Linked DNA regions of Schizosaccharomyces pombe. Changing the gene in region 3 together with the main gene of any one other region gives a genetic interaction. Each region holds a gene or a part of one and is shown on either strand. Other genes may lie near its edges. The genes, in order: pvg1, mbx2, gsf2 and cbf11.

What was found.
Region 1: of gsf2 (region 3) and pvg1, changing one enhances a phenotype caused by changing the other (phenotypic enhancement), as found in Schizosaccharomyces pombe (one study listed by BioGRID).
Region 2: of gsf2 (region 3) and mbx2, changing one suppresses a phenotype caused by changing the other (phenotypic suppression), as found in Schizosaccharomyces pombe (2 studies listed by BioGRID).
Region 4: of gsf2 (region 3) and cbf11, changing one suppresses a phenotype caused by changing the other (phenotypic suppression), as found in Schizosaccharomyces pombe (one study listed by BioGRID).

Annotation. Positions count from the first base shown.
Region 1 is NC_003424.3:2,868,159-2,875,186, forward strand, and holds pvg1 (Golgi pyruvyl transferase Pvg1), read right to left. Parts: upstream 3,490-7,028; 5' UTR 3,417-3,489; intron 3,335-3,416; 5' UTR 3,168-3,334; coding exon 1,962-3,167; 3' UTR 1,486-1,961; downstream 1-1,485. Other genes in the region: nicotinamide N-methyltransferase Nnt1, read right to left, coding at 359-1,013, 1,107-1,219; SPOM_SPACUNK4.17 (NAD-binding dehydrogenase family protein), read right to left, coding at 4,874-6,094.
Region 2 is NC_003423.3:3,623,336-3,630,257, forward strand, and holds mbx2 (MADS-box transcription factor), read left to right. Parts: upstream 1-3,303; coding exon 3,304-4,422; 3' UTR 4,423-5,323; downstream 5,324-6,922. UniProt on the Schizosaccharomyces pombe protein: Acts in transcription regulation. May bind to a MEF2-like typee II promoter sequence.
Region 3 is NC_003421.2:958,568-968,761, reverse strand, and holds gsf2 (protein Gsf2), read left to right. Parts: upstream 1-2,749; 5' UTR 2,750-4,789; coding exon 4,790-9,481; 3' UTR 9,482-9,563; downstream 9,564-10,194. UniProt on the Schizosaccharomyces pombe protein: Galactose-specific adhesion protein essential for non-sexual flocculation and filamentous growth. Required for adhesion and filamentous growth through recognition of galactose residues on cell surface glycoconjugates. Induces flocculation when overexpressed.
Region 4 is NC_003421.2:325,062-331,932, forward strand, and holds cbf11 (DNA-binding transcription factor, CBF1/Su(H)/LAG-1 family Cbf11), read left to right. Parts: upstream 1-2,316; 5' UTR 2,317-2,480; coding exon 2,481-2,562; intron 2,563-2,640; coding exon 2,641-4,400; 3' UTR 4,401-4,687; coding exon of another isoform or gene 4,688-5,383; 3' UTR 5,384-5,671; downstream 5,672-6,871. Other genes in the region: uri1 (prefoldin-like protein), read right to left, coding at 1-1,811, 1,886-2,033; tfx1 (translin family protein), read right to left, coding at 4,688-5,383. UniProt on the Schizosaccharomyces pombe protein: Transcription factor that behaves as a negative regulator of adhesion. Recognizes specifically the canonical CSL response element GTGA/GGAA.

The DNA.
Region 1 (7,028 bases), on a different chromosome or scaffold from region 3:
GGAAAAAGAAAAGGAAGTAAAACGCCCTTGAAAGCAAAAAAATTGATTTTTATTCAGTATTTGACAAGCAAGGCAATGAAACCCAGCTAAACCAATAATCCATTCGCGAATATTCACAAAAGTTGAAAAAAAAAGCGAAAACAAATATCAACATACCAATTGCTACTTTTTTGAAACCCAAACAATTGGCAAAGGGTATTTGAATGATGACAATAGTTTTAAAAGATGACCCCAATTTGTAACGAAAGAAGCGTATGCTCAAAAGAGGGATTTATTTTTTTTTTTGCTCAGATAGAACCTTAAATCTTTCCAAGTGATGAATATGTTATTTTTTACTGAGCGCTTGCAAATTTGCAGCCTAAACCGGGATAGGAATAGTCATTTTATACCCGTGAACCGTAGCACGTATTTCAGGAGCGCCAGGGTCCTCTTCAAACATAGGGGTTCTTTTTTCTTCTAAAATCTTTTCAATCTGAAAACCCTCACTTTGAGCGATGTCGAAGAAGATCATATCTTTTTTAGCCAGATGTGGACGGTGATGGGTAAAGAAAACGTAGACTACAGCGTTTGGATTACCTTCAATAGCCATTTTGCAAGATTTTATCAGCTTTGAATGCTCAGTATGGTTGAAAACTAAATCAGAAAGCAGTAAAATATCAAACACCTCATTGTCTTTAAAACCAGCATTCGACATGACTTCTTTTATGTTAGAACCCCAGAGATATCCCACTGCAGAAATTTTACTGGCTATTTCAGCATATTGCTTAACATTATGCTCAAGGTTATCGATTAAAGCAGGATCAGGGTAATCAGTCGAAACTACAAATTTTGCTCCGTCAAAAGCAGAAACAATGGAAGGAAGACCAGCTCCAGCTCCAAGTTCAAGTACCTTTTTTGCACGTACAGTGTCAGGGTTTTTGTCAATATAGTTGGCTAATTCAATGCCGCTGTTCCAGAGATAATGTGCCCATAATGAATGACTCCCTACCAATCGCAACTTGATTTCTTCTGGTCTATTATACATAACGATGTTAATATACTAACCTCTATATATTGTTTATAAAAAAAAGCTATCTGTCTAGCCTGTGAGTGGTTTTAAATCATACCCATTCGGCACTATAACTCGTGTGTGTAAAACTTCTTTAGGAGGAGGAGTAGAAGGTCGAAACCCTTCAGGTTCTTCAAAAATTCCAAATCCCTCGAAATCATTATCGGCCATGATTCCTGAACTTCTTTTTTGAGGATATTAGAATTCGTGCTAAAGTAAGGTGGTAAGGTAATTAAAAAAGCAAATTCAATTAGCGATGAAGTTTAATAATTCTCTTGTGGGGAACCAAAATAAAACGTTGAGGAAATGAAATGGTTTCAGTATTCGGTGAATACTCAATTACTTTCGGTTCACATTCAAGGACGAAGTATTTTGTCTAATACCAACACAAGCAAAGTTGTACAAAAAAAATATTCAACATTATGGTAACTTAATTAAGTAAACTTTAATAAAATGAAAATAAATTTATTTCTCTCTGAATAATTTCTGGGTAAATAGAGAGCGTATTAAAATAAGTATAAGAACCAAGTTTACTCAGCTCAATAGATAAGTAAAAAAATAACTGTAAAATAAAACAAATAGCTAATAAAACAAAGTAAATTTAGCAAGTAAAATTGGAAAAAAAAGTTGAGAACCCTATTCCACCATTTGCATTCTTTATGCACGGTCGGTTTAAAAACAAGCTGATCGTGCAAGCATAGATAACGTACAGCCAGGCTATAGAGAAAACAAATAATTATAAAATAGAAAGCCTAAAAGAAGAGGCAAGTGATTGGTAAATCCATTGACCTATTTCCATTTAGACTTTTAGTTTGCTGATTGATAGATAAGCTCCTTTTGCGAAATAAAAGGAGGAACAAATGAGAATTAATAAGAGTTAAAAATGCTAAAGAATTATATTTCATGATGCGAATTAAAAGTAGCCGGCCTCATTCCACTCGAGAAGCAAAGACAAAGCCTTGTCAACGGAATCAACGACTACACTGACACCATCCAATGTGCAACCATGTAGCCAGGTATTATGATAGTTAGTAATTTTTCCCATTTGGGAGTTTTCAACGACGATATGAGGAATACCCATTAAAGTGCTAAGGATGTGAGCATGGAGACGATCAGTAATGACGACGCGAGCAGAGGCAAGGAATTCCGCACCAGCTTCGTAACGAGCTTGGCCTCTATCATCAAAGGAAGAATCGGGATTTTGAGCAACAGGAGGATCCCACAAGAGCCAATCCTCAACGCTGTAGGTCAAGTTAGCGGCATTCAAAGTATCGCGATAATAGTCTTCAGCACCATGTTGCTGACCACCCTCGTGATCGAGACGAGCAAGAATCAACACATCATGAGTGATGGGAGTAGCCTCGCGAATCTCAGGGATGGGGCCCATGAAGAAGACGATATCGGGGGTAAGAAGAACTTCATTATGCTTGCCAAAAGCATCAACGGCAAAACCATAGCTTTGCCTATCACGAGTGACCAAAGTGATATTAGGATTTTCGGCATACAAAATAGAGGCCTGTTCGAGAAGTTGTTGTTCATTATACCAGACAGATTGAGGGAAGGATATGGTGGTGAAGGAAGGGAAATCTCGCACGACAAGTTCACGTAAATGCTGATGGTCAGGATATAAATCGCCAAAGTTACCACCGCCGTGGAAAGCAAGTGCGAACTCATCTCTGGGGATATCAGAGATGATCGACTTCAACTCAGAAGCAGAGTAGTCAGCCTCTTGAGCAGTAATGTAGACAACCTCAATATTCAAAGCATCCAAAAGCTTTTTCTCAGCAACATAGATTGCACTATCACCCTTGTTGGGGTGGTCAGGAAACCCAATGAGCGCAACCTTCTTGATGCCTGCAAAGTAATGCTTGTAATAAGTGAAGAGTAAGTTGGATTGCAGAGTGATGGTGGATTCACAGGAAGCACTATTTCTGGGTGATTTGGTGAAAAGGGGCTTTTTCTTGTCAACCGAAGTAGACGAGGAAGGAGAAGTTAGACTACTAGGGTTCTTCAAAGTTTGCAAGTCGGTGCGTGTCACGCCGTAGATAAACAGCGTGCAAGACACGGCAGCAAGGAGAAAAAGCCACACGGACTTTCGAATATTAATGTTTGCGAACATTTTGAGTTGAGAAAAAAAAAGAAAGGAAGAAAAACGATAGAATAAAAGAACGACACACGTCTATCGTCGTAAAAATTTTTAATGACAGGAGAAATTAAATTCGATAATCCCGGAACAATAATTAGCGAGGTGTGAGTATTAAGTTGGATAGGATAATGATTATCAAACTAAATTTAGAAAAAAAAAAATTAGCATTTGATCGACAAAAAATTTCAATGTAGTCAAATTACACCAAATAATAACACTTACCAATTATTTAACCAAGTGTATTATAAATTAGGAGAAGGAATCTTCGCAGCACCGTTTGGTGTAGTGTTTGGTTAAAGGCAACCTCTAAATGCTAGGACGCAAAGGGTAATTTCGAATACCGTGTGCTATCACCAAACTTTTCAATTCGTAAAGCCGAGCTAGTATGACTCTAGAAGTAATTTACACCACACTTTCTTCTTTTACTGGTGGCCGGGCTTCAATTTTGACATTTTTATTTCACGTTACAGCTTACATCTAATTGCGATTTTCCGAGGCGTTTGCGTTTCCGATGATCAGATCTGATAGAAGGTGAAAAACTTTCCATCCCAACGATAATAGAGGAGGTTAACGCACATAGACTCTTTACGTTATATTCTCATATCAAATATGAAATTTTTTATGAGAATATGTAAAGTCTTTGCTCCTTTCTCAATGTTTACAAAAATAATTTTATCGAGAGATTTTTCAATAAATTACCTGGATAGAATATTCATTGTTAGGTGCACCCCGGAAGGCTTTTGCCGAAAACTCCGCCTCAAGTTATACGCCCCGTCATCTTTTAAACTCAGACAATGTCCACTCCGACCATAAAGTTTGCTGTTTACATGTCAGCTAAGAAAATGGTAGGAGCGCCTTTGTTGGGCTCGTAAGTGTCAATTGTAAACAATGACCAGACAATAAACAAAGAAAGAGTCTCTTTTACAATCATAAGTACGTGCCTGAATGCTTTGTTTTCTCTACTGTGTTGGGTACTTGTTTACAATTTGGCATGGCAGGTTGAGCTTGCAATTTGCAGGGGTTAAAGCAAACCATGCCTGCGTACAAAGGTGGTAGGCATATCAACCTGTGTTGGGATACGGTGAGGAGCACAGTAGTGGGAAGGAGAAAAATTCTCAAAGCAAAATCATGCCCTGAGTATGAAAATTGCTGAGAAAGTTGTTGTTGTTTGATTTTGGAGATATGGTAGACGCAAATTACGCTTGCTATTACTAGAATTAACTAGCCTGTACTTATTGAATGATCAAGATTACTTTGACACTTTGTGTTTACAACATGTTTGTTAGCTTTTTTGCTACTAAATTAATTTGGCTAAAAACAAAATGTTCCACTTTGAAATCTTTTCCCTCGATACTTATTTATTTGTTGATCACTCTTGTTTACATCCGTATTTCCTACATACACTTTAATTCCCTTCCCGCATAATCTATGCAAACAAAAAAAAAATTATTTATTCATTCTAATCCGCGTTCTGCGGCACCCATTGTAATAAAATCATAATCAACATTATACCAAATCATCATGGGTATCTTTTCAAGGCATGACTAAACTATTTAGAGTATCCATATACCATACATATTTCCTTAAACAAACAAACATTTTATATGCAAAATTGACATAAACTTGATTTCTTTTTCTCTTGCAAACTTGGAAATCACCGTCCCAAAAAAATAAAACACCTACTTGGCTTCAGTGATGGCCTTGGTAAGCTCATAGGTCTTGACGGCATCCAAAAAGTCGGAATGGATAAGGTTCTTGTCACCCTTACCTTCAGCAGCATCCAAGAAGATCTTGAACTCACTGTAGTATGGGTCATCATTGGGGTATTTGTAAACCTTTTCTTCGTCCGAATCAGGAGAGCGAACATACAAGACGGGCTCTTCATAAAGATCAACGATACGAAGGTAGTAACCATCAGCCTGAACTTCAATGCAAGTATCATACTTGGCACCTTGAAGAGTAATGTTGTGAGTAAAAGCACCAACACCACCGTCCTTGTACTTCCATGAGGCAGCGGTAAAGCGGGGAATACGCTCCTCTGGAGGAATTGTCTTCTCATCAACTGGCATAGCATTTAATTTGCCGCTAGGGTCATCCCACTCAACACGGTTGACCTTGATACTATCAATCTCAACATCACCACCAAAGTAGCGAGAGAGATCACAAAAGTGGGTACCTTGCTCGACGACTGGACCACCAGACTCAGACATGATCCACCAGAACTTCTTCGAGTTGTGAATGTAGGCAGAGTTGTACTTGGCTACAGTACTGACAACCTTCAAGTTCTTTTCCTTGATTATCTCCTTGGCCTTTTGAACTGTCTTCAAATAACGAAGCATGTAGCCGACAGAGATAACGGATTCAGAGGGCAAACGACGGGCGACAGCAAAAGCATCCTCGACGGGAGCGGCAGAAATTGGTTTTTCGATGAAAAGAGAGGCATCAGGGAATCGCTTGAGGATGGCCAATTCCAAATCGGCTCCCTTTTGGGTAGAGCCATGGGTCTCAGGAGGAATGCCAATAATGTAGGCATCGGGCTTCTCCTCGGGGTGGCTGTCTAAGTATTCGAGGTATTCATCGGCAGAATAAAATTCACGAGTGTTGGCATAAGAAGAGGCGTACTCAGTCTCAGCCTTTTGCTTAAGGACACGTTCGTGGGAACTCTTGTGAGGGGACAAGAGAGCAACAACTTGTAAACGATGACCAAGAACGAGTTCAAGCTTTTGGGAATTATTCCAAGGACCCTCAGCAGTACCAAAATTAATACCACCGCATCCAAAGATAGCGCACTTAAAAGGAGGGCCAGTGGGTTCGGGAGCGGATTGTGGAAGATGGGAAGAAATTTCGTCCTTGACGTTTTGGTAGGTTTTGTAAGCTTCGTCTTTAATGTTTTGCATCATGATATAGAAATTTTAGAATAGAGAAGTTTTGTTTCGTTGAAGAAAATGGAGAGTTGAAAAAAAAAAGATTAAAATATTTGTAAATGTGAAAAATCGTAATCGTCAAAAATATACAATCAAACGCAGCCTTTTAAATTGTAGCAAAAAAAAAGCTTTTAATAAAAGGACGAGACAAATTGTAAGTCGTATATAAATATATAAAAAAGAGAAAATCTAGCAAAAATACAATAAATAAATTGTAGTGGGATTTGCCAAGTTTTTAAAAGAGAAAAGTGTTTTTTTTTGTTACACTGTAAATAGAATAGAATTCACAAGCTGGAGAAAAGTGGTTTGAAGAAGAGGAAAAGCACCTCTATTTATAATATTTGAAGAAGTCATTCATTTCATTTGTTTCAACAATTTTACATATTCATTTGTTTACGTATGTTGGAATTTGGTAGCCGGTATAGCATCATTAGCGGTATTTGAAGGCAGCGTCATGGCTGTTTTAATTACATTGTATGACAAAATTTGCTTTACGAGGTGTTCTAACCGATAATCGAGTGAGCGTTCTGATATTTCCTGGATGGAAAAAAATTTTCGCATGTTTACAACAAATACATCACTGGCTTTTGATATGATATCATGTAACAAGTAAACTTCGATAAGGTGCAGCTTAGAGGTGATTTCGTTAAGTTGTAGCAATAGGGTAAGGATTGTAAGAAGAAAATATTAGGGAGAAAGAGAGAAGGAGACAAAAAATAGAATTAGAGATTGAGAATTTTGAAAAGAATCTTGTTATGTTAGTCGTCAAAAACAAAAGAGTAAAAGAAATCAAAGAATAGTGGTAGACAGGAAAGACGTTTGGAAATTGCTGCGAGTAGTTCAACGACAATATCGACTTTGCAAATAGACTCTATTAGAGTTGCTTGGAGTGTAAATTCATTTTTGTTGG
Region 2 (6,922 bases), on a different chromosome or scaffold from region 3:
TAGCTTAAATCTAAAAACCTTAAGCTGTTTGCCCACATTTATCCTGAAATCGTGCTGAAACAAATGGTATTTATTTGGATTAAGTTCAACACTTTACAGAAGCGCAATCCTAAAAATGGTGGAATAGATAGACTGTCTTGGATGGGTTAACGAGGTCAGTTCGTCGAAGGGTTCGCTAAAGCGTAGATTAAGAAGTTAATTCGGTAGTATGCTATCGCTACGGTACAGAACTGAATTTAAGGTCAGCCAGAGTTGCATGTATCCCGTGCTAGCCGAAAAAAAGTAATCCGTACTTAACATTCGAAAATTTCGTTAGTCATTTTGTCTTGAAGCTGGGAGTATTCTGCACATTCCATTTAATATGGGGGGTTTTGGTTTGAAGCTCGGTTCTACCGATGTTTAGACGGGCCGATAATGCGAAGAAAAAATAATGATGTTTTCCGTTAAAACTGTTTTCAGATATCAACAAAAAAAATGTTTTCTGACAGAAAACAAAGAATCTGTTAAGAGATAAAGCCATACTTTTGGTAGACCATGTAAGACGGGGTATGTAATACGGGGTAGTACGAATAGATGTAAGACAAAGCTGTGCATAATTCGATTTGTCGCTTACACGGGTATATATGGACAAACATCATATAGTGCACAAAATAAACAAATGTGTGTTTTCTTATACATGGAGCCACGGAAAGTTCCGAGACAGATGCCCTTTTACGGGCTTCAAGTACCGATACGGCAAAAGTCCATAATCAAAGTCCTTTATGTCCCACTAGCTTGATTAAGCTAATTCGGCATACCCCAGGTAAGGAGGAAGAAAGGAAGGAAGGACAAGGTAAGCAGTCGCTGCACACGTCAATTTCGTGAGTCAGCACTACTGAGGCTGTCCATTAAAACAAAGGTAAAGGGACGGCGGACAGAGATGGATTGTGGCGATGATGTTTTTTGATTTCCAAAATTCTCACTGTTTCCATGAGTCATGGCATGCATTCACATCATCGTTGACTCTCCTCTCTACTCACTGACTAACAGTTTAAAACATGTTGCCCCAATCGTAACACTTAACGACCGATTAAAAATGATGAGAATTTGTCAAGTTCATCGTTCAACCCTAGTTTCCCCCAATTCCTTCCCGTACTCCTAAGCAATCATGTAGAGAGGTAGATGAGAAACATCGAATGGTTTGCCTTTTCGTAACAAGTGCTGAAAATGATAGGCGGATGCAGTGTTAGCACGAGTGTAGACGACTTTGAATGAGTGGTATAAGCAATAACGAGGCTCAAGTCAATATTCAGCCTCCTCGCGAATGGTTGCGCACGTAAACTATATCGCAACGAAAGTATGTCAGTCGCCAGATAGGACTACTCCTAAAGTCTAATCCAAACTACTTCGTCTAGCTATACTAAAGTATAAGCAGGTCGTAACGGTCGATTCATTGCGAAATCAAATTACTCATAAGCTACCTCTCTGGTTATTTTTTCCCAATGTACTGTATTCGTATTGTACCCCATTCTTACCGGATACATTTATTAATAGAGCAAGTTACGAAAAGCAAAATCAGAGCGAGTCTATTTTCGGACTTGTGTGTCTAAGTATAGTCAAGGAGCGGAGACAACACTCGTAATATTGTTCCTTCACGCCCTCCTCCCCCTTTCCCCTTTGAATTGAGTATCGTACACTGCATCAGTAATAGGGTCAGCGTTTCCAATTGACTGACTGGTTGAAAAGTGAAGGATTACATACGAAAATCCCTAAACGCGATCATCAGCGCATTCCGAATTTTCGTATCTTTCTATCTCTTCGATTCTTTCTTTAGCCTTGCCAAGTATTTTGGCTGGCCCATACGCTTTGCCTGACTATCGCGTCTAAAAATAAAATCCCCTTTCCAAAACCTTGGATTAGGTGCATGGGATTACTATGATTCTTTCCTAATAATTGCTAATCCCGCTTTCTTTCTATTTTTTTCTACTATTACTGCAAAGTCAGGTTTGCAATCCAAGTGGACTTTAACCATACTCAAAAGGTACCTTCTAACCTTCTTTCCATTATGTCCATCTTCCTCCTCCAATTAAAGGATTTTCCTACTTAGGGCTCATTTAATCGAGGCTATCCCACCTTTTTCATGAAAAAGTATTCGGCCTTGTGACCTCCCCTTTTCGAAAAGAGAGATGAAGAAATAGTTTAAATTACCCGAGTAGCCGAAACGGTGAATTTTCAGAATGTCTACATGAGGAACATAATGTACACTTATACGCGTTTGTATATTGAGAATTCATCGGTAATGTTGGCAAAGTGCTACGCATCTTCGGATAAACGTGAATGGAAGACATTTAGCCCCTAATTTTGGTGTACTTATGCAGGAAAAACCTATCCCTTAACAATTGCCTATGGAGGGAAAGAGAAAATTTTTTTCGTTCACTATTGGAATTTATTTTCTTTTGCATAAATATGTACAATGGTATGTTACGATGCTGGCGTCGATACTTGTCTAAGTTAGAACGCAGTGTGTATTACGAAGGTTGCATTAAATAGACGTTGCGGTTTCCTAGTTATTGCTATCCCTGTATATATATACACATATATATGTACAAAAACACGTATTTACACGCACTTATAAACGCACACAGACAACAAACAAATACCTAATTTTATAATTTCAAGTTGTTGAGACAGATTAATTTATTTATAAAACTTGGCGAGAAGATATTTTTAAACCTGACATTGAAAAGGAGGGGACAATTGTTAAAAATATAGCTTCAAAGGCAAAAATTTCTCCAAAGTGTTGATTCTTCCTCTTTCTATTTTAAAAATAGCACACAAAAACATCTAGTCATTTAATTTGTCTTTGTTCCTCTCATTTGTAAACACTTGAAAACCACCCGTTCCGGCTATCTTGTTTACTAAAAAAATTTTTTCTATTAATATCTTTAGTTTCGTCGCCCGCTTCAACCCAGAGTACAAAAACAAAAATAGCTTCCTCGTTTTTAAATCTCAACTTAGATTCGTCTAATCGACTATCAATTACGAGCACAATTGGAGAACTTTGCGCTCTTGTTTTCTCAAGCGAAAAATCTACCCTCAAGAGATCCGGTGCAGAGAAGGGAAGACAGGGATAAAAACTGTTACATAAATTCCAAGAATAAACCCCATCTGCTGTTTTCTATTTGTTCCTTATATACTTGCCCGTTTGCTCGCTCGTTTGCTCGTTTGTTTTCGTCATTCTCCCTATACCTGAATTTTGGTTAACCTCGTCGACTCTTTTTCTCTTTTCTCGTCAAACCTTACTAAATATATACAACGTCTAATATGGGGCGCAAAAAAATCTCCATTGCACCCATAACCGACGATCGTTCAAGGAGCGTAACTTTTGTCAAACGAAAACAAGGTCTCTACAAAAAGGCGTATGAACTCGCTGTGCTAGCCGATTGTGAAGTCGCCGTCACAGTCATTGATCGGAAAGGACGTTTGCACGTCTTTTGTTCCTCTGACTATCAACGTACTCTTCAACAACTCAACACTCTCAGCATATATGAGTTAAAAAACCGTTCTCATTTTTCGTCATCGCCTGTCGAAGAGTCAAGTACCGTGTCTCCAGAAACGACAACTGGTTCATTTACTCCTCTTAATAATAAGCATTTGAAGTCACAGGACCAACCTTTATCAGACTCCCAACTCGACACTGGTGATTCTCCTGCAACATCGGAAACGACTGTTCAGGACTATAATCCTCAAGTTCAGTCTTACTGTCGTCCCGAGCCTTTATCGTCTAATCACGTTCGTTCTTGTCCTCCATTTCCTCCCACACAACATCATCATCCCCATACTCGTCCTCCTCATCATCCACCTCATCCTCATTTTCATAACAATAACTATCCACCGCCCTATTGTTTCCAATCTCCTGTGTCTCCGGGTGCTACAGTTCCATTGCAACATCATTCTCCGTACCCTAGTGATAACGGCTTTCCTGGTCATCGTAGGCAAACGCACTTCGCTCCTTACTACTATCCACAAAGAGCTACGTCTCCTTCTTTGAAACAAGTTCCAACTTATCTGGGTACTCATGTACTGCAACAAGACCAGTCCACCTATGATCAGAAGGTCCTTATGCCTCCAGCAAGTTATCTTTCTTCACCTAATCAATACACCTTAAAAAATGTCTCTCCTGGTAACCCGGCTTGCCCTCCTTTTCTCTATGAACATCCAAATCCACAGCTAACGCCTGAGATGTTTGATGTTAAACAAGGCTCACCTATTCCGCCTACTGCGTATTCGGGTAGCAGTTGTGAGACTTCTCAACATACCATTGCGAATACTCCATTTTTGGCATATGATCGCTCTCCTTCCTTAACGAATCAAGAAGCTGAATCATCCTTCCAAGACGTAGCTTCCATTAGTCCACATTCACTCAGTGATGTCAAATACTAAAGAATATCATAGAAGTCAATCTCCCTTTCAAATGTCTTCATCATGTGTCCTCCCTGGATCTAATGAATCGTATACAAGTAATAATTTTAGTTGGCATACATCTCGATCAAATCCTTACAATCGTTTTCTTACTCAAACTGCATATGATTTGGAGCAATCCAAGCACCAATAGTTTACTGCCAAGCTGTGCGATGCCCATTTTTTTAATTTGACTTACATCGCATTCCAGTAAACAATTGTTAATACTAGGTCTATCAATTTATCGTTATAGTTGAATTACGCGAACGAAATTACTGACCTAGCAATAATTGAAGTTTGGAATGTTGTTCAATAAAATGGACACCTACCGATAGCTTATGGATTCAATGTGAACTACAAACCTAGCATGATTTCAGACGCTAGCAAATACAAATACCTGAACATTTCAGATGTGCCAATGGTTTAACTTTGTTAACTTCCATCTTCGGTATTTTGGATCCTCCCTGTTATGAATTCAAGATGGTGATTTTCGGTTTAAATATTTATTTGCAAACTGCGGGCAGTTTATCACTTATTTATTCAGGCACGCATTTTGTCTATTCAAGTGGACTAAGTTTTTTCGTGATTTTGTTTTAACCACCTCCTTCCACTTCATTAATTAATTCACCAACATGTAACATTCGCGGACCAACCTTTATGTTCGCATTCAAATTTTTTTTTGGAGCCGCTAATTTCTAATTAGACGTTTCTCATTCGTTTTCAAGGTTATACATGGTTTATTTTCGTGTGTTTGACTCGATTTTTTGCTAGATTTTTCACGGTTTCTCCTTTTTAATCAAGAACGTTTGACGATTCACAGAACCTTTTTCAAACCCCTAATTACAGTTTTCAACAATAACATGAGAAATTCGAACTTTCCGTGTAGTTTTACAGAGTAATGTTTAAGTGTTTGTTAGTATGTCGGTGTGTAAGTGTAGCGTAGCGATAACCGTCCAGCTTCAAAGGTAAGATGCAGGGGAGTAATGCAGCAGCTAATTTTATATGGCGGAATGAGCATGGTAGCACTCTTCAAAGAAGGTGGAATAGGAATTTGGCTTCATGCGAAATTATGTTAACAGAAACCTGAGTTTCTGTAACATATTATTATATACGTGGCTTAGGACATCCAAACAAATAAATGAAATTCTTTAGTATAAGAAGATGAAGAAGATATAAAAGATTACCAATGTTATGCAAACGATGGAACATGAATCAACCGCATAAAACTCAGTCGCTGTATCAAAAATGACCATCGTGGGATGCTGACATAGGCAATCAAGTTTCTCACTTCAAATAAATTAGAGACTGATTTGGCAAATATTTGAGAATTGATCCTCTATTTGACAAATCATTTTAACTTATTTTATGACAGACAAGTCTGTTTGTATTTTGGGAATAAAACCTCGCATTATCCAATTAAAACGTCTGTTGCGACCACCGGCTTAACTTAGAACAATTATAAAGACTTCCAGAACAAACAAAAGTAATAAATTGTCGTAAAGCGACAATTATGCAAACTTTTTACCCTGTGGGATAATTACCAAAAAGATGATCACAAGTAACGTAAGGCTATGTCTTTCAGGTACAAAACAACTGACGAAAGGTGATAAAAGTATTAAGTAGAGGCATCTGGATGCTGGGAAAACAAATTGGAAATTTCGTAGGGCAGTTTAACATTATTTAATGGGAACGAAAATAGAAAATAAAATATTGCAAAAAGAATGGCGTGGGTCTTACTAAAAGACGCAAATTAGGGATATAAGGCAATTAAACTGCAAATTTAATGCGAATAAAAACAATAGACAACGGCTTAGCAAGTGAATTTACAATACTCGGATTTAGATTTTGCGCGAAAAAGTAAATGCATTGGTCAACAGGAATGCAACCAATGCAAAAAGAATTGTCGCAACCTTGTTAAAAAAACAGAAATGTTTGTTAGACAGTTACAAAGATAGCGATAATCGAGACCAAAGTGTTCCTAAAAATTCCGATCGGAAAGTCAGTAAATCTCGCATAAGGTGGTGCAACTTTGCTGCATACAAGAAACTAGCAGCCCCTGGCCATTTCAGCTTTTTCAATTTGCTTAGAGCACAACACTAAGCAAAGAATCTCTTTCTTTTATAATAGCACAACTCCCAAATGATTATCACTTTTTCTAAAACAAATTAATTGGATACTTCTAAAGTATCCAATTGTAATAAGAAGTCTCAGAATAATCCAACAAATCATTTCAAATATCAGGACGCAGAAGCGAGCATGTAGAGAATATTATTCCATCTCAATACTCGTTTAAAAGGCAAGCGATTCAAAAGAATGGTAAGGGTAGTGGATGTTTGCATGCTGATTTGGAAGGGCTGCGGATATCCATGAGAATAAGCATCGTCTAATCTTTATAGGTATAGCAGGAAAAAGATGAACTTCTTATGAACGGTTAGCACAGAGAACGAGGGAGCGAATTTTTGATTTAAGTGATACAATGCAA
Region 3 (10,194 bases):
AATTCACAGACGAAATGAGAAGGAAAAAAGCCAGCCAACTGTATACGCAAGAAATGTGTGACAATTCGACAAGAGTCATAGAAAGTGGGCGGGAAACAGAAACACACAGAAAGTATGACAACTAAAACAAAAAAAAAAAGCGATTATAAAGAAAGAAAAGACTGACAGCTTGAAATTTTGAATTGAAAACCAAATCATCCTTTTAAACATAAACATAAACATAAACATTTCATTTCCTTTCCAATCCAATTCAATTCAATTCATTCCACTCCACTCCACTCCACTCCAATCCTTTTCAACCCCCAGCTTTCATCGCTTCCCTCTTAAAATCGGTTTTTTCTCCAACTCCATCATTCATGAGAATAACGACAACGCACTCCACCTTAATACCGGTCTCTGAACATTCAACATCCATCCCCTTGGAGCAAGGGAGAGGGAGAGGGAAAGAGAAAGTGGGAGTCAGCAACATTTCCTAATACTTTCCTTATTGAATGATTGTAAAGCGGGGAGAGATTAAGATGATAGATTCACAATAGTTAGGGGAGAAAAGTAGAAAGAAACAAATGATACTCTCAACCACTTTTTTTCCTTTCCAACAGAGAATAAGAGAAAACAAGAGAAATTGAATATGAAACCATATTAAAATTATGGGAAGGTTAACAAACTTTCCACATGCCATAAAACATTAGATGAAACGATAAAACCTTGACTTGTTTAGAAAGTCACGCACGATAGGCATAGAGTTTGTAAATAGAAGTAAAAGTAGCAAGCGGAAAATTAGAAAATAGAAAACAGAAATAGAATTAAAAAAGTGGAAAAAATAATATAGAAATAGAATTAACAAGTGGGACACAAGTATCAAAGTAAAAAATAAAATATAAATAGAAATAAAGAATCAAATTACCATCTTGTATATCTTCTTCTCTTTAATTATGCTTAACGACGACCTCGCTAATCGTAGAAACCTCTTGTTTTGAAAAGGTGAATAACGAAGCGGAATGGAGTCACAATGTTCTCCTTCTTCATATGATGCCATAAATAAACAAGGAAGCGAAATTTAAAAGCCGCAATTGGACAATGTGTTTGACATCATCCTTCCACTCAACGAACAGATAACATCATGTCATGACGTATAAGCTTTAGTGTTTTTGTATTTGAGAAACAAACATTGGTCAAGGATTACCGAAAATTTAAAGGGTTGATTTACCGAAATCATGACGTATTCCATTCAATTTCAGCACGAGGAAGAGGTAAAGAACATCAAGTAACGGAGACCCTATGTAAATAAAGAAAGCATGGAAGAACAAATAAAGGTAAGGAACAATAAAATGTCTAAGAAAAAAAAGAAACAAATACGACTTCTCTTCGAAAAAAAACAACAACAACAACAATTAACGATTGCTCTTTTCTTTACATATATATATTTTTTTATCGTAATTTGATTGCCTTGTTTTCCATGGGAACCCGAGTGTATGAATATTGGTGAATTCGTATGTACACATAAAACTTTACTGTGTGAAAACAAATAATGAATTAAAAAAAAAGAAAAGAAAAGCATCTGATTCAGCCACCTCTTTTTTATCTAATTTCCCTTCTACAGTTTATGAAAATTGGATGCATAATCGAAATTGCCCTCTTGCCTTGTCGGACCGATGGTTATTTACTAATAGTATATAAGCCTACCCCTTTTGCTTAACGAAGCATTTTACGAGTCGTAAAGTTGAAATTAGCGAAAAGTTTCGCAGCACATAAATTGACAATTCCACAGAAAAAAAAAATGTTTGAAAGAGAGAGAGTGTGTGTGATTCAGGATTCTCTTTTTTTATTCTTTTTTATTTTTGGGGGTAAGGTATTCTACAATACACGAAGAAGACTTTTTTTAAAATGTCCATCTAAAAATAGAGAAACTTAGAAGACAATCGAAGAAAATAAGATCCCCTTTGATCACTGAATGCACTACACTACACTGCACTAATTCCGTTTATGAATGCCGTTTAGTACGGCAGGAGCGGGTTACTGCTAAAAATAAATAACGACGGCTACTAAGAATAGAAAGTAAAGTGGGTGTGCTATCCGATGTTGGTTATTTACAGAAATAGACGAGAAACACAAGAAGCTGCTTACAAACAAAAAGTATTTGTTGTGTGAATGGTGGATGAAAATAGAAAGGTTCTTGTTTTAACTTCTTCTCATATCTTTTAAACGAATAATTAATGAGTGTTTCTTTATTCGTGAGTCTATATTCTCGGGTTTCCTTCTCAAACTTTCATCCAAAATAGCTAGTTCTATAAAAATAACCATTTCAACATGTGCCTAGGCATTGCCGGCTTTACCATCCATGATGGCTAAGCCAAACTAGCTTTAATCACAACCAGAGCAAAAAGTACACACTGACCGAAAATAGTACATACTGACCTGACTGTTTAGTGAAGTAGAGCGTAGCATGTACACAGTAGCAAAAAGGATATAGTACGTTGGCTTTGACGTTTGGAAAAGAAGCAAAAGAATTCATTTCATTCTAAAAAGATTTCCATATATTTTATGTAATTTTTCTCGTAATTATCAAGGCTTTCGTTCATTTCTTGTCCTTGTTTTTCCGATCCAATTTGCTTAAAAAAAAAAAAAAAAAAAAAAAAACTCATTCCGATTCACTATATTACTTAAGAATGCAGTATATATAATTAGCGTAGAGTAATGAGAGTTGCAAAAATTACCACCATTCTACGGGACCAGATTGACAACACCTGGTGAGCGCCGCCATGCATTCTGCCTCCAAGGCAAGCTGGACTATAAGCCGGCAGAGGTTTGACATACTTGTAATTTTATGAATTGGACATATAGAAGTAAATGCAAGTATTTTTATCCGAGGAGAACGCTAGTTGGAGGGAGAAGATGAAACAATAGTGGTGATAACAAAAAAAACAAAAACAATTGCCAAAAATTGTAGGAAAAGAAATTGGAAAAGGACGCGTAAAAAGTCATTCAAATCAGTAGAAACTTTCCAATGCGCGAATGGACATCCATCCATAATATTGAAAGGTTATTTTTCGTTTACAATCGTCGCAATTCAAATAGACGCGAAAAAATAGCAACTGAACGCTGCCACCTTAAAATTGAACTAAAAAATTTCAATTATAAATGCTTTGATCACTAAGCAAACATTGAAAATCTAACGACTTAGACGTTGCATAACTAATGAATTGACATTGCATGAACTACTACTACATCCTTCTAAACACCGCCTTTCTCGCTACCACAACCCCATCTCTACTACACTTCCACTCACTTACTCATCATTCTTCATAGTCGCACTTTTTCATTTCTCTCCTGTCATCTCCACAAATTAAATCTTAATCTCTTGTTTCACTAGCTTCTTAATTGCAATTAAAATTGCGCTTGCTACATCCTCTACACTACTCCTGTAATCAGCCTTCTTTTCTTCTCTTTCTTTAGCATACTCGGTCTCGTTATTCCATATATCGAAATTTTCTTCTTCGCTCGACCTCGATATTCTTAGGAACCAGCACAGAATGCAAAAGTGGATCCTTACCTCCATGTTCCCGAGATAGAGATTATTCCCTAGCCGAAATTAGAATTTGCGAAGAGGTTTTATGTTATCGCGGGGTCTTCCACATAGGTGACAACGATTTTTTAAATTCGAATTCAAAATGTTTCTCTAAAAAAAGAAAAACTTGCAAAAACGGGGAACATTTGAGAAAAGGGTCATCGGGGTACAGAGAGAGGGGTATAGAAAAAGTCGCAAAGGAAAAATTCCGTAAATATTCATTGCTAAAATTTCACACAGATTGGTTTGGGTGTAGTTATTTATAAATATGGCCGCATCTACTTAAGAAAGTTATTTCGCTCCTACATTGAAGGCGAGTGGTCGAGTGTTCGTCAATCAGTCATCAATTGAACATCCAAAACATTCTTAACGAGATTAAGATCGTTGACTTTCTTCTATAAAAGCAAAGCATCGAGAAAGATTCGAACATTGCAAAAAAAAAGGATTACCTATTCCATATACACCATCTGTCTCTCTCTTTTTGTTGAGGTTGCTAGAGTTTGGTTATTGGAACTTTCTTTTTTTTGTTGTATCATCATTTGTTTCCTTCCTTCCATCTTTATTTTGGGAAAGCGACTTGATCTCTCTTCGCTGCACGAATCTGTGATAACAATATCTTCACTCATTCTTTTCGCCAGCATCCAATTTTGTTTTTTTTTTGAGAAACAAATCTGCTCTTGTACATATTCTACATTCTTTTGAATTACAAGTGGGTATTTTACATTCATTTGAATAATTTAAAATAAATCTGGCTAGCATTTATTTTTTAATATTCTCCCCTTTTTTCTTTACATCCCCCATTCTATCGTCTAGGATTTCGGGTTGAAATTGGGTTTTAAGTTGTCCTACATTTACACAAAATAAACACTGGGTAATTTCGTGTTTGGGTTGGTTTGGTAATACAGCTTGCGAATCTCCTTTCATCCAGTTATTTTTTATTTATATATATTATTTCTTTCATTAATCTTTTCGCAATTTTGCATTCATTTAAACCCTCTTTTCTTCATTCTCTGTTGAAACTACGAGCTTTATTCATTTGGGATTCACTATTTTTCTAATTGAATTTCTATCATATTATCAATAAACGCGCTCTGCACACCAATCGTCAAGCATTGGATTTAATTTTGTTTTTGATAATATTTAATTTTTTTATTCGTTTGGTTAAATTATCTTAATAATTTTGTTTTTTTCTAATTCACTTACCCGTTTTTGAATATATCAACAATGTCTGTTAGAAGGTTTTTATCCACATCTGCTCGGGCATTACTTTTCACGGCTGCTCTTCTTCCCTCCTTGACTTCTGGTCTACCTTCTGGAAATGTCAGGATTTTGCAAAAGGGAATGGAACCTGAAGATTACCTTTCCTCTGCATCACAAAATGAAGTGCCTCACGATATTTCACTTCCAAAGACCGAGCTTGCGGATCCAAATTTCCTAGTTGACGATATGCCAACCTTACTTGGCAGAGACGCTGCTGTTGATCCTAGCATGTTTACTAGCACCTTCACAGTAAAAAATGGAAATGATGCTAACTACATTACTGCTAGTCCCGTTAGCAACGACGCTTCCATGACTGCTATTAGCACTTTTACCTCAGGGAAAGAAGCTTCTTATGCAATTCAAGCAAGCCCATCTACCTTTCTTCCTGATTCGACTACCACTTCAGGTTCACAAGTTTCAAATGCTGTTGAAGCGAGCTCAACTTTTGTAGCTGATACGACTAGCACCTCATGCAACCCAGCAACGGTTTTAATTGTAACCACATCTGGTTCAACAAGTACTAGTTGTCCCCCTCCAACAACAATTCTTATTGTTACAGTCCCTACCACAACCACAACAACTACTGTTGGATATCCTGGATCCGTCACTACTACCTTGACTGGAACTCCTAGCAATGGTACTGTTATTGATACTGTTGAGGTTCCCACTACTACTAACTATGGTTACACCACTATTACCACTGGTTATACTGGATCCACTACTCTTACCACTACTGTTCCTCACAGTGGTAATGAGACTGGACCTACTACAGTTTATGTGGAGACTCCTTATCCCACAACTGTCACTACCACCACTACTGTTGGATATCCTGGATCCGTCACTACTACTTTGACTGGAGCTCCTAGCAATGGTACTGTTATTGATACTGTTGAGGTTCCCACTACTACTAACTATGGTTACACCACTGTTACCACTGGTTATACTGGATCCACTACTCTTACCACTACTGTTCCTCACAGTGGTAATGAGACTGGACCTACTACAGTTTATGTGGAGACTCCTTATCCCACAACTGTCACTACCACCACTACTGTTGGATATCCTGGATCCGTCACTACTACTTTGACTGGAGCTCCTAGCAATGGTACTGTTATTGATACTGTTGAGGTTCCCACTACTACTAACTATGGTTACACCACTGTTACCACTGGTTATACTGGATCCACTACTCTTACCACTACTGTTCCTCACAGTGGTAATGAGACTGGACCTACTACAGTTTATGTGGAGACTCCTTATCCCACAACTGTCACTACCACCACTACTGTTGGATATCCTGGATCCGTCACTACTACTTTGACTGGAGCTCCTAGCAATGGTACTGTTATTGATACTGTTGAGATTCCCACTACTACTAACTATGGTTACACCACTATTACCACTGGTTATACTGGATCCACTACTCTTACCACTACTGTTCCTCACAGTGGTAATGAGACTGGACCTACTACAGTTTATGTGGAGACTCCTTATCCCACAACTGTCACTACCACCACTACTGTTGGATATCCTGGATCCGTCACTACTACTTTGACTGGAGCTCCTAGCAATGGTACTGTTATTGATACTGTTGAGGTTCCCACTACTACTAACTATGGTTACACCACTATTACCACTGGTTATACTGGATCCACTACTCTTACCACTACTGTTCCTCACAGTGGTAATGAGACTGGACCTACTACAGTTTATGTGGAGACTCCTTATCCCACAACTGTCACTACCACCACTACTGTTGGATATCCTGGATCCGTCACTACTACTTTGACTGGAGCTCCTAGCAATGGTACTGTTATTGATACTGTTGAGGTTCCCACTACTACTAACTATGGTTACACCACTGTTACCACTGGTTATACTGGATCCACTACTCTTACCACTACTGTTCCTCACAGTGGTAATGAGACTGGACCTACTACAGTTTATGTGGAGACTCCTTATCCCACAACTGTCACTACCACCACTACTGTTGGATATTCTGGTTCGGTAACTACTACTTTGACTGGTAGCGGTAGCAATAGCATTGTTACTGAAACTGTTGATGTCCCTACCACTACTAGTGTTAATTATGGTTATACTACTATTACGACTGGCTGGACTGGATCAACCACGCTTACTTCTATTGTTACTCACAGTGGAAGTGAGACTGGTCCCACTACAGTTTATATCGAAACTCCCAGTGTTTCGGCTACTACTACCACTACTACCATTGGATATTCCGGATCTCTTACAACTACATTGACCGGTTCCTCTGGCCCTGTTGTTACCAACACAGTTGAGATTCCTTATGGAAACTCTTCGTATATCATTCCTACAACCATTGTTACTGGCACCGTTACTACTGTGACAACTGGTTATACTGGTACTGAGACTTCTACTGTTACAGTTATTCCTACTGGAACCACTGGAACCACTACAGTTGTTATTCAAACGCCTACCACAGTGACTGCAACTGAAACCGACATTGTTACTGTTACAACTGGTTACACTGGAACTGAGACATCTACTGTCACAGTTACTCCTACTGGAACCTCTACCGGAACCACTACAGTTGTTATTCAAACGCCTACCACAGTGACTGCAACTGAAACCGACATTGTTACTGTTACAACTGGTTACACTGGAACTGAGACATCTACTGTCACAGTTACTCCTACTGGAACCTCCACTGGAACCACTACAGTTGTTATTCAAACACCTACCACAGTGACTGCGACTGAAACCGACATTGTTACTGTTACAACTGGTTACACTGGAACCGAGACATCTACTGTCACAGTTACTCCTACTGGAACCTCCACTGGAACCACTACAGTTGTTATTCAAACACCTACCACAGTGACTGCGACTGAAACCGACATTGTTACTGTTACAACTGGTTACACTGGAACCGAGACATCTACTGTCACAGTTACTCCTACTGGAACCTCCACTGGAACCACTACAGTTGTTATTCAAACACCTACCACAGTGACTGCGACTGAAACCGACATTGTTACTGTTACAACTGGTTACACTGGAACCGAGACATCTACTGTCACAGTTACTCCTACTGGAACCTCCACTGGAACCACTACAGTTGTTATTCAAACACCTACCACAGTGACTGCGACTGAAACCGACATTGTTACTGTTACAACTGGTTACACTGGAACCGAGACATCTACTGTCACAGTTACTCCTACTGGAACCTCCACTGGAACCACTACAGTTGTTATTCAAACACCTACCACAGTGACTGCGACTGAAACCGACATTGTTACTGTTACAACTGGTTACACTGGAACCGAGACATCTACTGTCACAGTTACTCCTACTGGAACTGCTACTGGAACCACTACGGTTGTCATTAATACTCCTACAACTACTGGTTCTGAGGTCCTTCCCACTACTGGTGCTACTGGAACTGCTGGTACTGAGACTCAACTCACTACTGCTACCGAGGTTCAACCTACTACTGGTGCTACTGGCACTGCTGGTACTGAGACTCAAGTCACTACTGGTACTGAAACCCAAGCTACTACTGCTACTGAGACTCAAGCTACTACTGCCACTGAGGTTCAAACTACTACTGGTGCTACTGGAACTGCTGGTACCGAGACTCAAGCTACTACTGCTACTGAGGTTCAACCTACTACTGGTGCTACTGGAACTGCTGGTACTGAGACTCAAGTCACTACTGCTACCGAGGTTCAACCTACTACTGGTGCTACTGGCACTGCTGGTACTGAGACTCAAGTCACTACTGGTACTGAAACCCAAGCTACTACTGCTACTGAGACTCAAGCTACTACTGCCACTGAGGTTCAAACTACTACTGGTGCTACTGGAACTGCTGGTACCGAGACTCAAGCTACTACTGCTACTGAGGTTCAACCTACTACTGGTGCTACTGGAACTGCTGGTACTGAGACTCAAGTCACTACTGCTACCGAGGTTCAACCTACTACTGGTGCTACTGGCACTGCTGGTACTGAGACTCAAGTCACTACTGGTACTGAAACCCAAGCTACTACTGCTACTGAGACTCAAGCTACTACTGCCACTGAGGTTCAAACTACTACTGGTGCTACTGGAACTGCTGGTACTGAGACTCAAGTCACTACTGCTACTGAGGTTCAACCTACTACTGCTGTTACTGAGACTTCTTCAAGTGGATATTACACTACTATTGTATCTTCTACTGTGGTTAGCACTGTCGTTCCTGGCTCAACCGTGTATCCTGTCACTCATGTTACTACGACTACTGGAGTATCCGGAGAATCTAGTGCTTTTACTTACACTACTTCCTCTACCCAGTACGAGCCTAGCACTGTTGTTACCACTAGTTATTATACTACTAGTGTTTACACTTCAGCTCCTGCTACCGAAACTGTTTCTTCTACCGAAGCACCTGAAAGCAGTACTGTTACTAGCAATCCTATTTATCAAGGATCTGGTACATCTACTTGGTCTACCGTTCGTCAATGGAACGGTTCAGCTACCTATAACTATACCTACTACACGACGGGTGGTTTCACAGGCGGTAACAACACCAACGTTACTGGCTTATACCCATCCTCCGCTGGAGCTAATAAGCCAATTGCCTATTTGACGTTTGTCTCTTTGTTTGTATATATTGTTACTCTAATTTAAACAAACGATCATGAGGTGTTAATGTTTTTAGAATAAATGGAATTAAACTAGTTATCTTATAATAACAAATTATCATTTAAAGATATTCTATTGTTGTTTTCAGAATAACAGCATAAGTAGAAAAAAGGTGCTAATGTAAAAATAGTGAATGAGTGACAAGTTAATGTAAATGAATTCAAAGCAATAAGTGTGCGTATTTTTAGTGTAGCATTAAAAAGTACAGCATGCATAGTGTATAATGAAGGAATACGATAAAACGCATAGTGTAAAAGAGTGAGATGTGATAAAAGAGCGAGTTTGTCTAGTCACATGTACTACAAAGGTAAGGCGGCGTAGCGGGAACAGTAAAAAAATTGTGCAGCTTAGACAAATTCAGTAAAGCGAATTGTGCGTCAGCAATATAGCACTACACTATATAATTTACTACGCCGCGTATCACTATATGTCATATACTAAGATACTAGTGAACATACCGCATACCGCTTTACCGTTATATTGTAGATCGCAAGAGAAACTCACCGCGGGTCAATATGTATCGGTAAACAGATACCGAACTGCGTAGCTAACAATAAGAGTGATGTACCGTAAAGAACAGTAGGGTGCAGAAAGGAACTGCGAAATGCGTTACATCAAATTGGGGCTGGTGAATATAACAAATGGAGCAATAAAGAAGAAAATATAATAAGTTTGTAAAGGTAGAATACCAAGTCTGT
Region 4 (6,871 bases), 630 kb from region 3:
CATTTTTTTTCTCAGTTCGTAGTAACGTTGTGATATAGCTCGTTGATCACTAATTTCCTCGACTTTCGCATCGAATGCTTCTTTAGACTCGCTAATTTTGTCAGATGGAGTTCGTTCAACTACAAAATCTTTTACTACAGATGGTTCATTTAAATATTCCTTGGAAGTTTCCGAGCTTTTTTCTTTAGGCGGTGCTTTAAGCTCGGATTCTACAGTAGATTTGTCTTCTTCTTTTGGATTTAACTTTGTATTCGCAGCCCGATTATTTAATGTGTTACTCAAATCATCGTTCTTGATTGTACATGTGGCATTAGAATGGTTGCCCTCTTCGTTTTCCTTTGCGCGCAATTTGCTCCTTGCTTTACGAAACGCTGAAATACGACTCTGAAAATCGTCTGGTCCAAAAAGATTATCGTATTCTTCAGTTGGAGCAGGTATAACTTCAATATTCGCCTTTCCACTCCGACTGACGTGTTTAATTTCCAGCGTGTCTGAAAAATGTACCTTTCGAGGATTTTTTGACGAAAGCTCTTCTTGTTCAACGATTTGTGGAAAGTCACTGACATTTAGGCTCTCGTCATTACCATTGACATAAGTTGTAGCACCAGTCTTTTCTGTAAAATATTGAGGATCCGGTGGAGCTTTCAGTTCCTTGGAAAATCCTATCGTCATACCATGTTCATCTTCCTCAGACTCAGAATTATCATCTAATTCGCCTTCCTCCTCCATTTCCTGAATGAGAGCCTCCATATCTTCTAAAGAGTCTAAACCGTCGTATTGTACTGCTTCCAAAACATTTTGTCCTTGCGCAGTCGTCGGAACTGGTAGTAACATCGGTTCTTCTTCGACAATTTTATTGTCGGCATTATCTGGTTCTTCTATACTACTACTTCTAGTTTCGTTTATAGAATGAATAGATTCATTTCCTAGTGAAAGCTTTTCACTAGATGTAGCATGATCTTTGTTGCCAGATTTTTTTGTTTCTAGCTTAGCTTGTTTAAATTTTGAAAGACGCTTAGGTCGTTTTTTATGTTTAGACGTGCTAGTGTTATTATCTTTATTAGATTCCCCAGTATCTTGGGCCTTCGCTGTCGGATGCTCTAACACAATGTCTCGTAAAACTTCATTTTGGGTATCTTGATGTCCATTTTCATTTAAAGTAGAGTTATTGAGAGCATTCAATATCGTTTCTTTATTTTTTTCAATAGCAGAAGCGTTTGACTTTATATTTGAAGTAGTTCTGTTTTGCATTGCATTATTTTTTTTGAAAAGAAAACCCTTTTTAAACAAAGAAGTCTTGCTACCATTTTTAATTTGTTGAACCATATCTGAATCACTCAATGAAGCAGCCTGACTATTACTAATAGGACTCTCATATGTTTTACTGTCTGAATGATCACCATGTTTGCTGGGAAATTCTGAGACACCAAGTGTTGGAGTTGAAGTAAATTCAGTATTAGAAGGTAATGAGCCCATTTCTGGAGCTTTGTAGTTAATATTTTTCGTAGAATCGTTAATTTCTTCTTCAGATAGCTCTTCAATTCTCGAAGATGTATCACGGTTCCCCCCATTTTCAATATTTTTGAAACCAGGAAGGGATCGAAAGACATCCGCATAATCTATTACAGATGAAATTCTTTGTGGAGCAACAGAAGCACTTATAATATTTCCATCTTTATCAACTTCTTCATGAATATCCATAACAGGTAACCCTTCTGAGTTTCTTACTATCAACTCGGATTTCTTCTTTTCAATTGAAGATGCTAAGTCATTATTGTAATTTCCCAAAAGTAAATGAATATGATTTAAGACTGGATTTTCATTAGCAATTAGTCGTTTGATGAAGCAAACATTATCACTCAATTTATAAGAAAAAGTAACGTACAATCCACATGGGATGCTGTTTCACATCCTTCAACTTTTCCATCTTCCTTACAGTAACGGATCGCCCTACCGACTGATTCAGAAATTTCGCTAATCTTAGAGAAGATTTGCTGTTCAAAATTGATGGCTACTAGTCTTTCGTCGTTCATTCGATAAGTTGTTTTAAAGGATCTTAAATAGAGTTATTGAAGAATTTCTAATTCAAAATAATCTCACGCCAACGATCGTTTCGTGGTTATTCCGGAAAAAGGCATATACAGCTTATTCGGGCAAGCTAATATTCACTTTAAAAACGAGATAATAAGTAATTCTAATAAATTTTAAATACTTTTAGTATTTAAATAACAGGGTAACTAATATAATATCGAAAAATCGATGTTAATGGAAATGGCTCAAACTGAGTAGGAAGCCACCGACCTGACCCTAATGTACGTAGAAAGCGCCATACTGCAAATGTCCTAAGCATCTAGTAATTTGGTCCCTTACTTTAAATTTTAATATTTTCTCACTGAAAATAATTTAAGTAAAAGCAAATGCATGTCTTAATCCTATAGGTCCAACAGTTTAAGCAAGTATAAAACATAATTTGAACATTAATGGGGGACTATTTTGCCTGGGATTTTGCAAATATCTCTGGGAGTAATACTTCTGGCTCCTTAAATTTAAATCAGTTGAACTGTAAGCGCTAGCAATGATGGTTGAGTTATAAATCATTCTGAACATCCCAAGCGTAAAATAGCTAACGGATTTTTCTAGTGGACAACATAAATAATGGTTTGCATAATCAGGAGGATGGAGCTGGAGGAAGGAATGAAAATTCTGAAAGAGTTGGAAGCGGGAGTCCTGGAAGTGTTTCCATGCAGGTTTTGTCTCTCTTCAGTGCTGTAAACTCAGCTTTGGCTACTTTGGAAAAATCAGAGGAATTCCCTTCTGTAGTTAAGGATGAACAGTCAATTTTTCCTGCTGTAGCAAAGGCGTCTAATTCGTTGGACGAGCTGGCCCAAAACATAATTCCTGCTCCTTCTCCTCCTGGGTTTAATAGAAAAAGAAAAACCTTTGATGAAGACAGTTCTGTAGAGATGATCCGAAGAGCCATATCAGATCATTTGGATTTACTGAACAATTGTTGTATTGGCATTGCTAATTTGAATGAGGACAGTGTGCACAAAATTTCACTTACACGTTCAGGGAAACCTAGTCAGCTGGTAACAGTTTCGTGTCGACATTCCTCTGTCATACAAAAGTCTTATGGGTCAGAGAAACGTTACCTATGTCCACCCCCTATGGTTTATATTAATGGGAATTACTCTTCTATATTCAATCAGTCTTTTCGCACTGAGATATCAATAATGAATGATTTTGGGCAATGTTCGCAACCCATCAGCGAAGAATACACTGGCCAAGGATGTATGATTTTTCGGTCACTGCATATATCGAGTTTGGTCGCTGCGAAATCTAAAAACTTACGGCTTTCTCTGGACATGTTCTCGAATGTAAATAACCAATTGTTATCTCATTTGGTTACTTCTTCTATTAGTATTGTCTCCAAACCTTCGAAAAAAGGAAGCAAACTAAAAATTAGTAATATTACGTTGCGATCCGGTTCAGTCGTCAGCCTTTATAACCGGATTAATTCACAAACTGTACGTACAAAGTATACATCGATTGAGGCTGGTCAGTTTTGTCTTCGCGGTGATAGATGGGTGCCATTGCGTATTAACCTGCTATTACCAGATGAAAATGGTAAACTGAAGGTATGCGACGATGTCGATAACCCAGAACCCATTAAATATGGCTCCATCGTTGAATTGGTCGATGAAGCAACAGGAACGACGAGTGACCCTTTAATTATTCGACGAGTAGAAAAAGACCACATTGCTGAGGAGGACGGTTACGTTAATCAAATGCATAGAATTGTATTAGAAAGCGCATATCCCATATCAAACGTACGGCATCTTAAGATCGCTGAGCATAGTTCACTGGCATATTCCAATAATATTTCAGTCCGTTGGTTTCTTGGGGCCACGTCGGCACAAAACAGAAATGCATCTAGTGAGGCTATATTGCCCATAGAATGGGAAGCTGTTGGAAACTTGAGTTCAAATGAAATGACTCGAGTTGGAGATTCTGTATGCTGGACTATAGTGGGCATATCACATTTTGACTGTACGATGATGTTACCATTCAATCAAAATCCTGTACCAACGGTTACTGATTATCCATATATTGAAGAGCCACCCGAATATTTGGAGAGCTCGCGCTCATTACAATTTAAAATTGGAGGCTATTCGGTCGGATTACAAATTTGGCTAGGTGTTCATGGACCATTGTCGTATAGTTTTACCGCAGCTGCTGATACGAGTACAATGGGTACGGTCACTCTAGGTCTGTCGCAAATTTCATATGATCCTTCTTGTGCAGAACAAAAGTATCCTTTGTTGTTCGTGATTCCAGGTGGGATTGTCATTATTGGAAAATGCGAGATTTTGCTAACGTCAAGTGCTTTTGGAAACTGATGCATCATGATTAATTTTACGTGTGGTTTCATATGGCGAAATATTGAAATACAATTTGTTTTCAAAATGATGGAATTAGGTTGAAATCTCTCTTATTAAATGAACTTTATATTGTACAAACATCCTAGCTTATGGAAACTCTAACATATAGAAAGCAGCGGAAGCTTTTGATAAGATAATTGAATCGTCGAAAATATGTACTTAATAATTATGATTTTCAAAAGCTGCAAAACAGAAAAACTTTTAATAAACTAGTAAGGTGTCTGTCGAGAGCTGTCGATCATATATTATGTGGACCGTAATCGTTTCTCCTCGGGAGGAGTTGCTGTATCCACTTCCAAATTTAAATATCTTTTATCTGCTTCTCTTAAAATTTTACTATAGCAAATTCCTTCAACTTTTGAAATGCTGTTCTCCATTACTGATAATTTCTGCTGTAATTCTGACTTGACCTTAGATGGTAAGTGTTCAATTTCTGAGCAGTTTTTGTGTAGTCCACGAAGAAATTTAACTTGCTGAGTGAGTTGTTGGACAGAGAACTTAGAGCCGTTGGTTACAAGGAATCTCATTATTTCACCAGTCATGTCACAAACACCGAGTACATAGTCGATGAAATTAATAGAAATTCTAAAGCTACTATCTTTACAAGAAAGTAACGTACCTGTTTGTAACCAGAATTTGAAAGTGACAGCTTCAACATACTCTTGAAGGCCGTGTGTACAAGCAGAAGAGAACTTGTCTGCATTTAATCCAGCCAACTCTCTCTTCAGACTTTCTAGTTCTTTGTGAATTTTTTTTTCAAAAATGGATGTTCTGTCGAAATCCTTGGGTAGAGGAAATCCATCAGAAGAGGATGTTTGATGTAAAAGAAAGATCATTCGTTTACTTTGAATTGTGATTTCACGAGAAAGACGAATAATTTTCTCCCTCTTATCTTGATCCTCCTGTAAAAAATTTTTAAATGAGAGGAATTCCTCTTCCATATTTGGCAAATTCGGTTAAAGTTTTATAATATCCTCAATTCAGCAAAGCCGTGTGGAAGGTATAAATGTATAAGTCTATATTATCAATTGAATTAAATGCAAATCAAGATGACTATTTGTTGTTTAAGAGACGAAATATTGTTTAGTGGATCATTGAGTAAGGTTAGTTGGCTCTGTGCTATGAAATTGAAATAGTGATTTGAGCTGCAGCAGGACAATCGACCATGTATGGAATGAAGAGAAAATATTGTTAATAAAGATCGGTTAATAGGAATAATGAATTTTTTTGGTTATTTAAATTTACTGTGGACTAAAGCCATTTGCTTCTGACAATAAAATCTTGAACATGTGAAAATAATAAATATATAAAGAAAGAAATTTGAGCTTTGCTTGAACAATTCTGAAAATAACTACCCAAGTTTTTTGTCATTTCCACGTGTTATTTAGTTATATTTCTTAAAAAGAGTCCCGTCCTTTTTATATTTACAACATCATTAGTATTTAAAATAAATCTTAGCCTACTTAAAATCCAAGGCGCAAATGATTGTTTATCACAGCATAAATTCTTGCAATTAACGAAAGAGTGTACATTCATCAATCAATCATTTTACTAAATAACAATGCCGATGAAAACAGACTCAATACTGCTTAATTACTCAAATACATTACCAGGATTGCCCAGTTAAAGAGTATGTAGAGAAAGATATTATTCCTACTCAGCGTTGGCACAAAATTCATTGTGTTAAATGCTTTATTTACAAAGCTGTAATTGCTGATAAAAAGTGTCACAAACCGGGATCGAACCGATGACCAACAGATCTTCAGTCTGTCATGCTCCCAACTACACCATTGCGACTAGTTGTTATCCATAGTCATTATAGATCTAAATAAATTGTATTCTTAATAATGGTTTTATAATATATTTTTCAAATGCAGTATTGACAAATACATATCCTTGTCATTCACAGATTATACATTTGTAAATACTTCCTATGTACTTAATCAACCTTATTTAATTTACACAATGCTTTAGAAGTCGCATACAATCTCCATCGATTATATATTTTATAAAACGATTTTCCTTATGTATTTTAAACATGTTTATCATTACATTACTAGAGTAACACAAATATTTTTTCTATTCCAAAAAAGCTTCTGCGGGTATAATTTTAAGCATATGGAATATTGTGAGTTGACAAAAGGAGACGGGATAAATTCAGGTGTAAAAAAACATTTATTCGTAAATCACAAGTCGAATAATAGTAAAACAAAAGGATTTATGTTTTGGCGGAATGGGAATTAAGACTATGTTTTTTAATGAATGGGATGTGTAAATATGCAGTATCTCAATTCACAAACTATTATGAAAGGAGTGGGAGATTTAAAAGGAATTCTGCCATTGATCCTTAGCTGAAGAGAAGGAAAACTTAAACATATTAGTTTAAATCTAACCAGCCTGTTAGATATTGCTTCAATTTTCAAAACAAA